3 linked regions of the Caenorhabditis elegans genome follow. The protein of the gene in region 3 interacts with the protein of the main gene of each other region in a pairwise test. Each region holds a gene or a part of one and is shown on either strand. Other genes may lie near its edges.

Region 1 (4,939 bases), on a different chromosome or scaffold from region 3:
GGAACCTTTAAGTTAAAACTAACTTGATGATACTCATAAAAATTCTAATTCCTAAAATTCAACGGAAGACGCCATTCCTCCTCATATTTGGGCGATGTCGCTTCTTTCAGCCTCTTCAACGATCTCCTCGCGCCGTGGTTCTCAGCCAAGTGTAAATATTCTCAATTTTTAGTTCATAAAAATCTAGAAAAATCAAAAAGCTAACTTGAATACTTAAATGGATGTTCTCTTTTCTCTTTCTAATCTACTTTCATCATTCAATTTGATATGACATTCCCTAATGCATAGTGATATTTGAATGAACGAGACAATTAGAAGAACACCCAATTGATTCAATTTTATACTTTAAGGGTTTGAATTTCTTTCAAGACAACAAAAGAAACAAAATTAAAAAGGAGAGAATGAGAAAGTAGGGCTTGCTGATGTAAACTTTTCTTAAAATTAAAATTGAGCATTGCACCTGCCAACTGATACGCAAGAAGAAACTTATTCGAGCTAAAAAAGGCATTCGAGCAGAAAATGCATTTTATTCATCTCTGAATATCATATTAAATTGTTAAATTGTTTGATAGCGGAAACGAATATGAATCGGAAATGAGATGATTCCATACTCTTCGAACAATTTATTCACGTTATTTTTAGAGGAGGAAGAGGAGGAAGCTTGATAGTTCAAAGGGTATTTCAAAGAGGCATTCTGTCTGGAAGCTTTGAATTTTCAAAATCAATGACTAATCGATATTTCAATTTTTTAACCTCCTTGATTTACAACAATCGTTCTATCGGTGAACCAAATTCAGTTAACACAAACCATTGATTTTAAAGTTTCAAAGATTTTTGTTTTCCTTTAGTAGAGAAAAAATCAAAGAATTCAAGTATGTTGCCATCAATTTTCAGTAAAAAAGTGGCAAACAAAATTTGAAGAGCTAGGTGCATTTCTACAACAATTTTTAAGTCCTAATTTTCAAAGTTTAAAGTCTTATTCTTTGATTTTTATTTTGAATTTCATTGATAATGTTCAAAGTATTTCCAGTGAGTCATTTTGGCAGAAAGAAGAACATTCTCCGAGCATGAAGCCATGTTGATCAGATAAATGACGCGAGTCAAGTGCAAAAGATTATTGTGTTATACTTTTTTATTTGATACTGAAAATTGTAACCTTTTCAACTGAGAGATTGGTTAAATGTACCTGTGTTTCAGAAATATTTTAAACCTATGCTCGGAGAATGCTTGACATTTTTTTCAAAATAAGTTCTGATAAAGAGCTTTCGATAAGAATTCAACAAGCATCTGCTGGCGGATGTACATAGGAGAGGGAGAAAAAAGAATACTCATAAAAATACATTTAGAATTGCACAAAAAAGTTGAGTTTGGAAAAATTTTAATTCGAAAAATACCCAAACCACAGAACAGGTACTACTTTTGTAGCGAAACTATATGACTTCCATGGCAGTAAGTCCAATATTTTTAAAGAATAAATAATTGGCATAACTTTTAGAAAACAAGAGGCATTTAGACTGCGAAAGTGTATTGCACTTCAAAATTTGAAGCAATTTATTATCTTAATTTTTCTGAAATCGGACAAGAAAAGAAGAAGTGAAAGGAGGCAAAAAAGACGAAGCTGAGCCAATCGATGGCCAAATTTTTTAGAACGACAACGACTGAAGACGACTTAAAAATATGAGCATACGGATAAACAGGGAGATTAACTGGCATCCGCCAACAGATTCACCATGCAAAGGATTAACTGTCAACTATAACATTTCTTTTATTTTCTCCTTTTTATAGAAAATATATTTATTCACTATTTCATCCAGGTTCGTCCGTTGACGTACTACAGCTATGCAACCAGATTTATTCGAATAAAAAGAATATCGTGATCTTCACAATGAAGCTCGTATTTCTATTTCAAAAACTTGACTCATTTTTAAGTAGTGATGAGATGCAATAACATTAAAATTTAGGTGCTTACGTAATAACCGGGCCAATCGGAAACAAGACGAAATCTAAAACGAACGCATTTGCAAAGTCGAGCTACTGGCTACTAGTGAAGATTTTTAATTTACATCGAGTTGAAAAATAAAGATAAAATAATAAAAATAAAGATGTTTATGATCCATGTTCTTGATTAGGATACATATTATAATACTTCGGAAATGACATACATACATAGGTATGCATACAAGAAGCAATATCGCTTCATTAACAAACTATCCTAGATCATAATTTAAAGAAAAATGTTACACTTTCAGTAATTGGACTTTGTCTCAATTTTTCTCTATTTAATGTATCCTGGCATACAAAGCGTATTATAGAAAAACCGTTTCCGAAAAATTTTAGTTTTTCAGATATTTCGAAAACAATTCGATTTTTGCAAAAATATATTAACATTTTGACCATTTTCCTTTTTTTTCAGAGAAAACATTTCATGTTTTTTCTCATCAAAATGAACAACTTTTGGTAATTTTTTAGTTTTTTTGTTAATTTTCTAAAAAAATTTTTCTTTAACTATAGAAAAAAAATAAAGAATATTGAAATAATTTTAGCGGTTTTGGAAAAAAAAAACATTATCTGCATCGAAATTCGACATAAAAAATATTTGCAAATAAAATTTTCAACTTATTCTTGATAACTTAAAAGCTTAATTACATGGACAATAATATGCAATTGATTTATAATTAAATTGAAAGTTAAAAATAAAAGAATAAAACAGTTAGAACAAATTCTACCATCATGACTTTTACAGAAACTTTGACACGAAAAAACAAAAAACCACAATAAAACGCTGTTCTCTATTATTTCCGCTTTCATCGAACGAAGAAGAAAATCATCCGACAATCGGCAATTCTATGCACGCAAAACATAAAAAGAACTGACAGAGACATGTGCAAAGAGATTTTTTTTAGGGGGAGATTTCTATTGCAATGAGAGAGATAATATCTTGTTTTATAGGTTGCATTTTTACTTTTTTCGGTTTGGTAAGATACACTCAGAACTCACTTTTCTGTTGCATTACTTGGGCTCTTCTTTTGATACATAACGACTCCAAAATTGAGCATTTGATTCTGAAACTATAGAAAAAAAAAAAGATTGGCTAGAAACAAAAATAAAAAGTTAGATTGGAGTTTTTGGAGGGAAACGTTGAGTAGGCGAAACGCCGGAGCTTATCAATCACTATGGGCAGTTGAGTGGAGAGAGATTTGTGATGTGAATAAAATTATAAATAAATTGAAAGTATTTCTGATCCTCTCACTCTCTCTTTCTTTCCTGTTCTCAACATTCACCTCTACTAATCCCCTTTTTCCAGCTCATCACAAGGTTGCTCTTCGTTTTCTGATTTTGTGTGCTCATGGATTACTGTAACATTTCTAGATTTAGATAATGGTAAAGTGTATGGTGAATGGTGACATATCCGAAAACATGAAACTTGAAAATATTAATCTAGTTAAATACTTCTGCCGTTGACATTTGAGACCAGCTATTATAATAATCTCCTTTTTTCCACTCTATAAGCAACAATTTTCAATATTTTGACATCCTGTGAATTGCAAAAAATGAATATATTTTCTAAGGGGTTCGATAGTAGACATGAATTTTTCAGACGTGCTCGCCTGCCTGCTTGCCGCTGATGAAAGGTTTGATAGGAAGATGCTAAATTATGGCAGGAGTAGGAAGTTGTTCCTAACTGTCGAGCAGTGACTTTGCACTTTGTTGTCAGGAAAATTTGGTTTAACCGTTAATCCTTCAGATGAAGTTTGATTCCTGGAAGTTTTCTGAATTTGAGTTGTATCACTGTCTGTATGTTTAAATACATAAACTCCCGTGAAAAAAATTGAAAAAAAAAACAAATACGACGAGGCAAACTTATTTATTTCCCAATATAATTTTACTCAAAATCGTCGTAAAATTTTTGCAATGAAGGTGAGTTGGAGTGCGGGAGTTCGAGCCTGCCTGTACCTGGCTACGCGTCTACCTGAAAATAAAATAAGACATCAGAAATTCTAGAATAAGTTTCCTGCAATGGGTCGCCTGTAGTATGATTATTTAAAAAAAAGACAAATTCGGTATTCCTGGTATAGTAAAATGTAATTTTCAATTTTCAGAAATCTGAGAAAAAAGAATGTAAGAGTGAAACGACCGAAAAGACTGAAAGGACAACAGATGGCAGCAGTATTTCAAACTCAGTTATGATCAATTTTCCGGACGACTCAATGTATCAAAATGTAGAAAAAACTAAAAGCGTTGGAAGGTGAGCAACTTTATCCCAAATATCCCAAAACACTTTTTAATTTCCAGAGTAACTAATGAAATGATTGACAATTATTTATTGAGATACCAATTTTTCCATGGTTTTGTGCTCCAAGAGCTACAACTGATCTTGTTGAAGACGAACGGAGACTTTCTCCTGAGATTGTCGCATCAACCAGAGAAGAATGCGAAGAAGCCGACGACTCCGGACAAAAGTGCCACTGATCCGATTCCACTGACTCGTGTCATTCTTGTTCTGTCCGTCAATATCAGTTTGTTTTATTTTTTGTTTTTTTAACTTCCTAGCAGCTTGGAAACTTATTCAATGAACTTCTCATAAGTTGTCAAGCTGTTGCGGGGAACTTGCCCTCACTGTTCGTTGAAAAACTCTAGATTTTACAATTATGTTCCCTATTCAGCACAAAAAACCGGCACCACACGAAGTTTCTATGGGGATCTGGAGGATGTGAAGAAAGAGAACATGGATATGCATTTGTTTATTGAAGAAACCGCCGGCAAATGGACCTCGTTTTATATTGAGCGGCGATTCAAGTTTCCGACTATTGATGAGCTTATCAACTACTATAAGGTCAACCCGATTTGCTATCACAATGTATGTTTGAGTGCTTTTCTAGCCATTTCCAGACGGTCTTTAATTTTCAGACACGTGTATTCTTGAAACGCCCTATCGTGC
Region 2 (4,403 bases), on a different chromosome or scaffold from region 3:
GATTCTCTCTCGGCTCCCAGCTAGAGTCAGACTCGGGGAATCCTTGCCACTGTATGAGAAATTCGTCTCTGCCGGCTTTTCCAGTTCGCTTGTCCAGCACTTTTTCCACCATGAACACGTTGTCCTTCTGGAAATCAGATTTTTGAATAAAATGTGACTTTTTTTTTCTTTGTCGGGGAACTTATACTGTCGCTTTGTTTCTAGCAAAATTGGATTTTTTATGCAAAAATAGATTTTTTGTTGCAAAATTGTTTTTTTAAAATATTTTTTTTAGTGCAAAAATTGATTTATTGTTTTTTTGCAAAATGGACTGTTTTTTGGTTTTTTTTCGTTGCAAAATTGTATTTTTTAGTTTTTTTTGTTGTAAAAATAGATTTTTTGGTTTTTTCGCCGTTCCATACCGGATCTTCGATTTTTGCTCGCTTTGTTGATTTGCTCGACATTTTTGAAATTGCTGAAATAAATTTGAGCTAAAATGGGAGAAATCTGAAAAAACATAGAAAAAATATGGAATAAAGATTCGAACAATATCTTGAAATTAAAAAAAGGCTCGAACAAGAAAAAAAATCATATTTAGTTTACTCACAGACAATCACCGTACAGAAATATTTAAAAAAAAAATAAAAATTATCAATCTTTTTCAGCATCATCATCATCACTCTCAGAGTCATTTTCTCCACCTTCAAGCCCTTCCACATCCTCCATCATAATCTCCTGTTCCTCATCGCTCTTCTCCTCGGCTTCTGGAACATTTGAGTCGTTTTCAGGCTCCTCGGGCTCATCTTCGTGATCATGATGATGGTGATCGTCGCATTCGTGTGGTTTTTCATCATCGTCACTATCTTTTTCTTCTTCCTGTTTCTCGGCTTCTTGCTTCTGTTGTTGCTTCTTCCGTTTCAGGTAGGTTAGGAGCTCTGAAAATTTAAAAATTAATTTTTTTTTGCCACATTTTTCGAGCTACTATCTTGTGAATTTCGCAAGTTTTGGATTAAAAGCGCGGTTTGTTGCATGTAAATTTACGAAGGATTTTGTACTTCACCCGGACAACTGTGAGTTATTGGCTGAAATTTACTTTTTTGAACTATTTTCGCTGATTCTCTTCCAACATTCCAAATTACCAAAGAAATGAGTTTTCCAAAAAGCAGAAAAAGAGGCGGAACGTAATTTTGCAACCAATTTTGCAACCATGCGGCACGGTTTTCCTTTTTCTTTTTTGGGGTTTTTCCATAAAAGTTTCGATTTTATTCCTTTTAATTCACATTAGATTGGGAGGATATTTCAAGCTAAATTGGTTGTAAAAATATGAACTATAATCGAAATGTTATGCGAATTAAATTTGATTTTTTTCTCGTAAAAAAAAATAAAACAGGAAGAATCGAAGTTTTTTGGAAAAAAAAACCAGAAAAAAAACCAAAAAAAAAAACAGTGGAAAATTGTCGAAAAATCGTGCCGCAGAGTTGCGAAATTAGGCTCCTCCTCTCTTTCTAGTTATAATGTCTTATTATTGTCCAAAAAATGTGAAAAAAGATTCACGCTTGTCCACGTGCAGTATCCTCCGTAACATGTAAGTATCAAACTGCGCCGAAAAACCTTCCAAAACTTGCGAAAATCACGAATTAATCGTTCTATTTCAAACCTTTTGCGGTATTCATAATATTCTCAGTATTCTGCTGACATATTGGGCATTTTGACGACTTTTGGAACGATTTCAACGCACAACCGGTGCAAAAGTAGTGCTTGCATTTTGTCACGATCGGATCAACAAATGGATTTCCGCAAATAAAACAATCCTCCGGAAACGTATCGTCGCCTTCATGAATCTCGTAATTCGCATCGTCTTCAGCACCATATTTTCCTGCTTCGTACTCCTCATCAATCTCCCATCCGTGTTTATAGTCCGATCGGTCGTGCACAAATTTACACGAATCTCCAAACGTACAGAATCCAGTCTCCTTGTAATCCTTGCAAATATCCGGTGCAAAATCCCAACGGACTGTTTGTCGTAGAAATTGTGGCGCCCGAACGGGCCCAACTCGATTATAACCACTTGCAGCGTTTCCCTTGGCCGTATCCTTCGCCTCTTTGGCTCCATACAGTGCACTTCCCTTGTACAGAATTTTTCCGTCTTTCTCGACGCCTTCCTTCAGTTGCTGTTGGACTCGTTCGAATTGAGCCTGGGCATCGTGTGAATAGTCTGTGTCCACTTCGAGTGTTGCAGTGGCACCTTGATCACGTGGTCCAGATGGACCGGCATCTCCTGAAGCGGCGAACGAGTGAGTTGCTACTGCGATATCCTGATTGTCGTCAGAGTCGTCAGAATCATCCGATGAATTATCAGCACGTCGTGTTGAGGCGTCTAGTTGTTTGGTCTGAATTTCAAAGTTTATTGGGATTTTCCAAAATTTTGGAGCACTAAAGTACCAAGATCTCACCGACTGGACCATCGGATTCGTACGACGTCGCTTTTGAATCACATCCTTCACTTCTGAATCTTGATCCTCATCACTTGAGCTTTCCTTTTTACGAACGACGGGTGCATTGCGCTTTTTCGGTTTTCGGAAGAGATCCATTATCTGAAAAATTAAAACTATTTATTAAATTCAATTAATTAATAAAGCTTCAAATCTGACAAACGAGAAATACAATAAAACGGTTCAACATTATGAGAGGAAGATGAATCAAACAATAGAGCTCTACAGCCGAAATTTTTGGCGCCATGGAAATCATTTTTCAAATTGTCTCCAATGTGCAAGATTTCCGAGGGAGAAATTAGATCGAAATGGTTGACAACTAGCTGGAAGATCTTCTCATCGGGCTTTTCGTACCCAATTTCGCCGGAGAGAACTGTCATGGAGAAAAGATCGAGTAAATTGAATTGAGAAAGTAGAGATTTCAAGCGACTATCGAAATTGGAGATGACAACCAGGATGATTCCTTTCAGGCGAAGTTTTTGCAGAGTTTGGCGCGTCTAAAATGAAAAATTGCAGTATTTTTTTTTCAACAATTCACAAAATTTACATCGCTTTCAACTAGTTTCCACGGCTCAGGAGTTGCATAGTGATTGTACAAAGCTCCAGCGATCACTTCAACCCGTCCTTTTTCAGAATCCGGAGCACACTGAAACTATCAAGTAGGGGACTTGCCTAATTCAGATTACACCTACATCCAAAAGCGTAGAAGAAACTACTTCAATCCACCAACTTTTGTTTCCAATTCCATTGAACCCAAAGCAGGGCGATGCGATGCTCATTCGTTTATAATTTTTAAGAAAGCTTCCCATGATTTGATCGGAGTCGACTTCCAAATCATATTGCCTCGCGAAACGGGAATAAACTATCGGTGGAGACTCTTTCATCGTGATTAGTGTATCACGAGCATCTAGGGAGAGAACTTTCACGACTGGAGGGGTGGAAAGGTTACGAGAAGTTGTACGGAGCAGGTTGGAGAGCATTGAGCTAAATATGGAAATCTAGAGTTTTTTTTAGATTTCCAAAGAAAAGGTTAGTGTGTTGATTGAAAATTTTCCTCCAAATTGGCCGAAAACAATATTTTAACGACGGAAATACTGCATTTTAACTATTTAAATGACGATTTCGTAGAAAATAATATTGGAAGTATCGGAAATCGATTTTTCGAATTCAAACATCAGGAATTTTTGAGAAGTTTTTCGAGATGCATAGGGATAACACTAGGCTTCTTAAAAGAAAAAAGGTTTTTGCATCCGAATTTCAGAGATATTTCTGTAGAAAAAAAAGAGTTCAATTTACTGTTCAAACTCTCCAAATAACGATTTCTCAGCCAAAATCAATTAATTTCCAACACCTGATTTTGAACAGAATAACAATTTTTGAACAATTTAAAAGAAATCTTATCACAAAATTCGTTCATTTTGGCTTGCTTCGAGTATTTAGAAGGAAAAACTAGAGATTTCCTTGACTCCACTTGTTTCATCGATTAGGAATACTTTATCTAAAGATATTTTTTATATTTAAACCTATTTCTTTATTTAAAATCCAAAATCGCAAGAAATCCCTCATAAATTCGTCAAAAACAAAAATAAACTAAAAAAACACTTTTAAAAAATCGATAAAATTCGAAAGACCCGCGTGCGGCACGGAAAAAGTGGGCGGAGTGCGCCGAACGCAAACCACTCGCACACTTCTCATACACTCCGCCACAACACGCTCCACCGGAGTGTGTGACACAGCGCGCCAACTTGAAAATGGCCGAGAGAGTGTCTCGTGCTCAGGTCATGCGCGGCCTAGTTTTACCATGTGATTTTGACGCCAATTCAAATGATCACATTTCCTCGTGCTTTGCAGCGCTCCTTCTCCTCGTCCAAACCCGTCGAACTCGTGCTTTTCTCATCGCAAAACTGCTCGCTGTGCGTACATTTTCACAGA
Region 3 (5,523 bases):
TAGTCTACTTGTCGTTTGCTTGGCTCTTTGGAGCAACATGCAACTTTGCAATGTTCGCAGCTGCTGCCATTTTTACCAAAGCCATTGCTACAGTGATTCAAGGCATTGTATGTCTTGTTGAATAGTTTTGCTCAAGCTTATGGATATACTTGTTTTATTTCGGCAATGTTGTTAATCTCTTCATATTTTTACTCGACTAGCATTTTTATCTCTGCATAATGGTATCGTAATGTCGTAATTTTTTGATACGCTGACTACAAGACGCATTGATGTATGAATACGTATCTCGATACTAAATAAAATGATTATAATAGCAATATTTATCTTCGTGGCAATGGTTTTTTTTTAAATTTTTTTGTAAGCAGAAAACATAATATTCAAGAATCACTCCTTAAATTTCCCAAAAAAAAAAACTACGAGTTACGAAGATTAATTTTTCTCACAACGAGAAGTATCCGATTAAATCTTTTAAGTGTGCGTATCAGACAATTGTGCGTTCCCGATACCTTGTAGTGCCTTTTATCGCATATCAGCAATACTAATTTATTATCAAACAACAATAAATCTTGTCATCTTCTTATTAATTTGTACAATTATTAGGGAAATTGAAATATTATAACCCATGACGAGATCAGCAGTCTCCGAAGTTGACCACATTTAGGGAGTTCATTTCCTTCTTGGCAATTTTCTGAACATTTGGAACATTTTACAGTAAAATCTCAACCGGGTTATGTGAACTTACGTTTTTCAGATATTTTTGAAGATTTTTATTTGGATGATCGAAGAATTCTTGTGGGTCTCTGACAAGGAGAGCGACATCTTTGCAGTTTCCTTGGCTGTTGGTCACAAGAAGATGTTCATAAGAGGAAGAAGTTTCTCCGGATTTGAGAACACAGACTGGAAATTGAGAATATTGAATTAATATTATAGTTTAAAGAACTTATAGGATATTAAAAATATTTCAACAAAATAAAAACTAACATGGGAAGCTGAAATTTTCTCCGTTAAAATCTGCCATTTGAACTCTAACTGATTCATGATCCATTGTCAGCGCACTACCACGAAGTCTAAAGAGCTTTGGAGCTCCGTGAGTTCTGAATTGCCAGATTAATCGAGCATCTTGTGCGGCAACCGAATGTTTTCCCGCGGAAACGTCGAATCTTGAGCATGTAAGGGCCTCTGTTCCCTCTAAAAGAACGTTTGCTTTTTCTTGGATTGCTTGGACCACGTTTGGAGAAGCCAAAGCCATAAGCCACTTCCCGTTCATTTTCTCAAGGGAAATTTGCTCACAGTCACACTTGGAAACAAATTCATCGCTGAAACCAACATTTTTTAGAACAATGAGAGTCTACAAATCGTGAATTCACAAAATATGCATATTCTAATTCAACTAATATAACTCACTCTTCTCTGTCAACTGAAGTGCTCGGTGGAATGACTGGAGTAGCTTCAGTAACCACCGGAGTTGGAGAATACCGGATATGATTGCGAAGAGCGCTGCTGAGTTTTGCTGGCGGTGGAACTGGCATCATTTGTTGCTCAACGAGGTTTTCGCGCTCTTCGGTAAGCTTACGCTCGTGAGAAGATGCAACAATAAATGCTGGTGGTTCATCTGTGTTTTCTGACACTGCTGGGGCTGGAGTAGGCTGAGCTAGTGGCGCTGGTGGAGATGGTGGATAACCCTGAAAATGCAAGTAATTTAAGCAAGCTTGATTTTGAAAAATTTGAAGTTTCTATCATAGATTAAAAATTCAAATTGACAGTTTTTGTATGACTCACCAAGTTTTCCAATTGCAAGTCTGTTGGCAATGGCGCTGGTGGTCTCTAAAAAATACTAAACTTTAAAAAAAATTTATTTTGACCATCATTATTACCGGTTGATTTGGCCCAAACGAACTATGCCAATTGCTGAGCTGCTCCTTCAGTCTTTGCTCCATTTGTTGCTTTTCTTCCTCCAATTGTTTTTCCTAAATTGAAGAATGAAATTTAGTTTTTTTCGCACGCCTTGCTACTCACCTTTTTCCTCAACTCTTCTTCCATTTTCTTCTGAACCTCGATTTTCATGCGTTGCTCGGTGAGCTCAGTCTGGAGGACTTCTAACTGTTTACGTCTAGTCAGAAGTTCCTTAGTTTGCAAAGTTTGTTCGTATGTTTGGAGAATGTTTTGAAGGCGTTTCACATCCTGAAAAAAACATTATTAAAGGAGCAGTTATTATCGACTTTCCATTTTTCACGTAGTCGAACACTGAGAAAAGCATAAACTTTCAATTCGAATCAGTTTTTAAGCAGTACAAAAATAAAAAATAAAACAAAAGAATCAAATCGAATATTGGAAGTAACAGCTTATCAGAAAATTATTAAATTGAAGCGATGAATGAAGGGTCAATTGATGATGATTTTCAATAAATAAGATTTATAGTTCAGTATGCCTTAGTCAAACTTCTATTTTAAAGTCATTATCGCTGAACAAGCAAAATTATCTCATCACTTACATCAACACCAAGACCATATGCTCCCTTTGTGCGAAGATTCGTGACAACCTCGTCAATTGCTGGATCCAGTGGTTGCATGTATCCTGGTGGTCCAATATCCATAGGTCCCATTGAGTTCAGTGATGCCTGCGGGCTCTCGAATCGTTGTGGTGCTCGTCTCAACAAAGCGTTCACTTCGGCCATTCTTCTGGGATCGACTAAATTCATATCAATAGAATTTGACAGATCAGCGTGAGGTCTTGGTGGCTCTGTGCCCTCTCGCTCTTTCAGTTTTTGAAAAACAACTTCTGCAATGTTTTCAGGATTGAGTGGAACTGTGGAAGTTGGTGGGGCAATTGTTGTGTAGCCAAGCCTCTCGAGCTGGAACTTTCTTGCGTATCTGTCCCAATCCTTGACTTTAACTCCATCGACATACATTTCCTTTGCTTTAGTTGTAGGAGGTTGTGAAGTGCTAAACATTAATGGTGCTTGTGATAACTTTGATTGTACTCGACTAATTTATCTGGCATTTTGACAAAACTTAATAAAGTATTTTCTCAACAATGAGTGCAAAAATAAATTAATAATGGTTTCATATACAACGCATTTCATTTTCTTCTTATACAAACTTGACTGTTTTATTATTTTAGTACAATCCATTAAAAAAAAACTCACAATGCATCTAAAAACTTGAACGCAGCTTTCGATGTTCCATTCATGCCTGGCAAATCTAAAGGAGTACCAAAATCAGTCTTGTTAATGCCTAGATCTTCTAGCGGCACTCCAATATTTTTAGCAACACCAAAAGGGTTAACCACCAATTCACTTAGCATTCCACCTCCTAGCATGTTTGTCAACATCTTCCTGAATAAAAAATAACTATACGGGGTATGTTAAGTTTGGCTTGTTACTTTAGCTCATCTGGATTTCCTTCCATCTGTCCTTTAATCACATTTCCAATGTTTGGTAAAGTCTGCACAATTCTTTCCATAAATGGTGGTTTTGAAGAACTTTCCTCATCCTGAGCAAAAACTGCTATCACCAATAGTGATAATAGGAGATAACTCCTCATGCTTCTGAAAAAAGTATTATTATCATGGAATGAGAAATGAGTGACAATGAAAATCCCGAAAAAGGGAAATGTGAAAGTGAAAAGTGAAAATGAAGAAATGAAGGTGAATTTGTTTCAAACGGAGGGCGTGGACAAATCGTGTTGGGATAAGAGACACACAACGCGCTCCTCAAATTGGGTCGCTATCATGATTGTCGAAGTCGCGAAATGGGAGAAGCATAGGAAGATTACGTTCCGTTTTCACTCGGACTAGGTCAATTTTCCGTTTCATTATCACTTATCTTTTGCTTGATGACCTATTGGAAAATGGAAAAGAAAAAGCTGAATGATGACACTTCTGACACTTTTTTGGGGCTTTGTGTACATGGAAAGCATGACATTTTTGTTGAAATTGTATGCTGGTTACTTCCCTGCTGATGTGTGGTAACATGATGTCTAAGTTTGAGAACATTTCATGAACCGTTTTCAGTTTTCTGGTAACATTCTTCTTTCAAGAAGTTGATATAACAACTCCCTGATCAAATTACTTACAATTTTTTATATAAAAATTTGCTGAACGCTGATAGTAGCAGTTTTAAACAAAAATTGTTGTGACCAAAAAAATGTTATAAAAAATTAAAATTTTGTGAGCCCATATTGTTTGTCAGTTTAAGCGCAGCAATCATTAACAATTATTATTATTATTGGTTTTATTTTCACTTGACTAACTTATTGATTTTCGAGCAGTGTAAATGTAAATAGGAAAATTTGAAATTTAAGAATTTATTTTAACTTTGTATATTCATGGAAATAGCACAAGGGAAGACAAACTTTGAATGAATGACCAATAATTTGAACGGAAGAAAAATGAAACATACATTGGAAACATATGAAATAAGTCACATGAAAAAGTTGAGGTTCATCTCAGAAAATGGATGAACCAATTGTTGCGTGGAAGGTGGGTGTGAGTGGAGAGGTTGTAGTGAGGGTTGATCTACAATTCAGCTCAAAATAAGTTTGGTTGGGTATGAAAATGGATTTGGATTTTCAGGAAATAAAGAATAAAAATAGAAAATTTTTGCACGATAACAATTAAGTGTATGATGAATGGTTTTAATGATGGAAATGCAAGGGACTCGCAATGAAAGATAGATTCAAGACTCAGTGTTTAATTACAGACAGCGGGATTTGGTGTTTCTCTTGGTAAAACAGTTTTTGAAAGATAAATGTCATGATGCATGGCTTCTTGGTTCCTACTACTTTGATCACGACTACACGTTTGACGATTCAAATGAACTATTGTCTCCGGCCTGAAAATGGGTTGGTTTTATGTAGAGAAATACAAAATGATATTATGCAAAGTTACTATTGTCATAAATAATAAAAAAATATTCGGAAGCTTTGTAGTCAATTTTTAAACAATATTTTGTTTCCCAGAATTTGATAGTCTCACTAGCTTAATGTCTAATTACATACCCCAGTGGGATACTTGTGTACCAACACCTGTGGACAAAGCAGCTCTTCTGGCTCCAAGCAAATCTCATTCTTTGCCTTTTTTCTAGTCAACGAGAATCCTTTCTTGACGACCTGCAAAAATTGTGCGTCCGTGTGACTCGCTTCACTTTCCCAAATTCTCACCTTTACCCTTCCTGTCGGGGAGATTTGCGGATAGTTGCCGGCTGCTAGAAAATCTCGCTTATCGGCAATAATCTTCGGGCCGAGAAGTTGATTGAAATGCGATGTCAAGTGACGTCGGAGAAGCGTCTTATGCGGAGGCATCTGTAGGATTTCCGCAAGGGATTCGGCAGTGAATGATGGTTCATATATCTGGAAATTGAACATACAAGAAGAATCTATCAACAAAAAGTTGCTTAACAATACTGTTGATGTTAATGTAGGAATGTCGTCCATATGCCTGACATACTTCCCAATTTAAAATTCAATTGCAAAATATGTGGCACCAAATTTTTGCCCAACCTTTGACCAAGGAATACGGAACAGA

The links. Proteins that work in one complex are often made in the same cells at the same time.
Region 1: the proteins of M03B6.3 (region 3) and kin-4 interact in a two-hybrid assay, tested with the Caenorhabditis elegans proteins (one large-scale study listed by BioGRID).
Region 2: the proteins of M03B6.3 (region 3) and rnf-113 interact in a two-hybrid assay, tested with the Caenorhabditis elegans proteins (one large-scale study listed by BioGRID).

What each region holds. Positions count from the first base shown.
Region 1 is NC_003282.8:11,423,859-11,428,797, reverse strand, and holds the start of kin-4 (non-specific serine/threonine protein kinase), read right to left. Parts: upstream 3,057-4,939; coding exon 2,998-3,056; intron 2,665-2,997; exon of another isoform or gene 2,644-2,664; intron 1-2,643. Other genes in the region: F22B3.8 (Tyrosine-protein kinase), read left to right, coding at 3,913-3,918, 4,101-4,246, 4,294-4,517, 4,665-4,858, 4,909-4,939.
Region 2 is NC_003281.10:10,755,068-10,759,470, forward strand, and holds rnf-113 (putative E3 ubiquitin-protein ligase rnf113), read right to left. Parts: upstream 2,574-4,403; 5' UTR 2,571-2,573; coding exon 2,433-2,570; intron 2,370-2,432; coding exon 1,637-2,369; intron 915-1,636; coding exon 631-914; 3' UTR 557-630; downstream 1-556. Other genes in the region: Chromobox protein homolog hpl-2, read right to left, coding at 1-127, 402-443; K01G5.10 (Haloacid dehalogenase-like hydrolase domain-containing protein 3), read right to left, coding at 2,609-2,968, 3,019-3,117, 3,164-3,451. UniProt on the Caenorhabditis elegans protein: May function as E3 ubiquitin-protein ligase that catalyzes the transfer of ubiquitin onto target proteins.
Region 3 is NC_003284.9:13,860,747-13,866,269, forward strand, and holds M03B6.3 (uncharacterized protein), read right to left. Parts: upstream 3,547-5,523; 5' UTR 3,543-3,546; coding exon 3,382-3,542; intron 3,335-3,381; coding exon 3,146-3,334; intron 2,943-3,145; coding exon 2,492-2,942; intron 2,182-2,491; coding exon 2,017-2,181; intron 1,968-2,016; coding exon 1,875-1,967; intron 1,825-1,874; coding exon 1,780-1,824; intron 1,683-1,779; coding exon 1,405-1,682; intron 1,317-1,404; coding exon 982-1,316; intron 898-981; coding exon 743-897; intron 689-742; coding exon 632-688; 3' UTR 531-631; downstream 1-530. Other genes in the region: M03B6.4 (uncharacterized protein), read left to right, coding at 1-125; hlb-1 (Liprin-beta homolog), read right to left, coding at 4,793-4,831, 4,998-5,108, 5,160-5,348.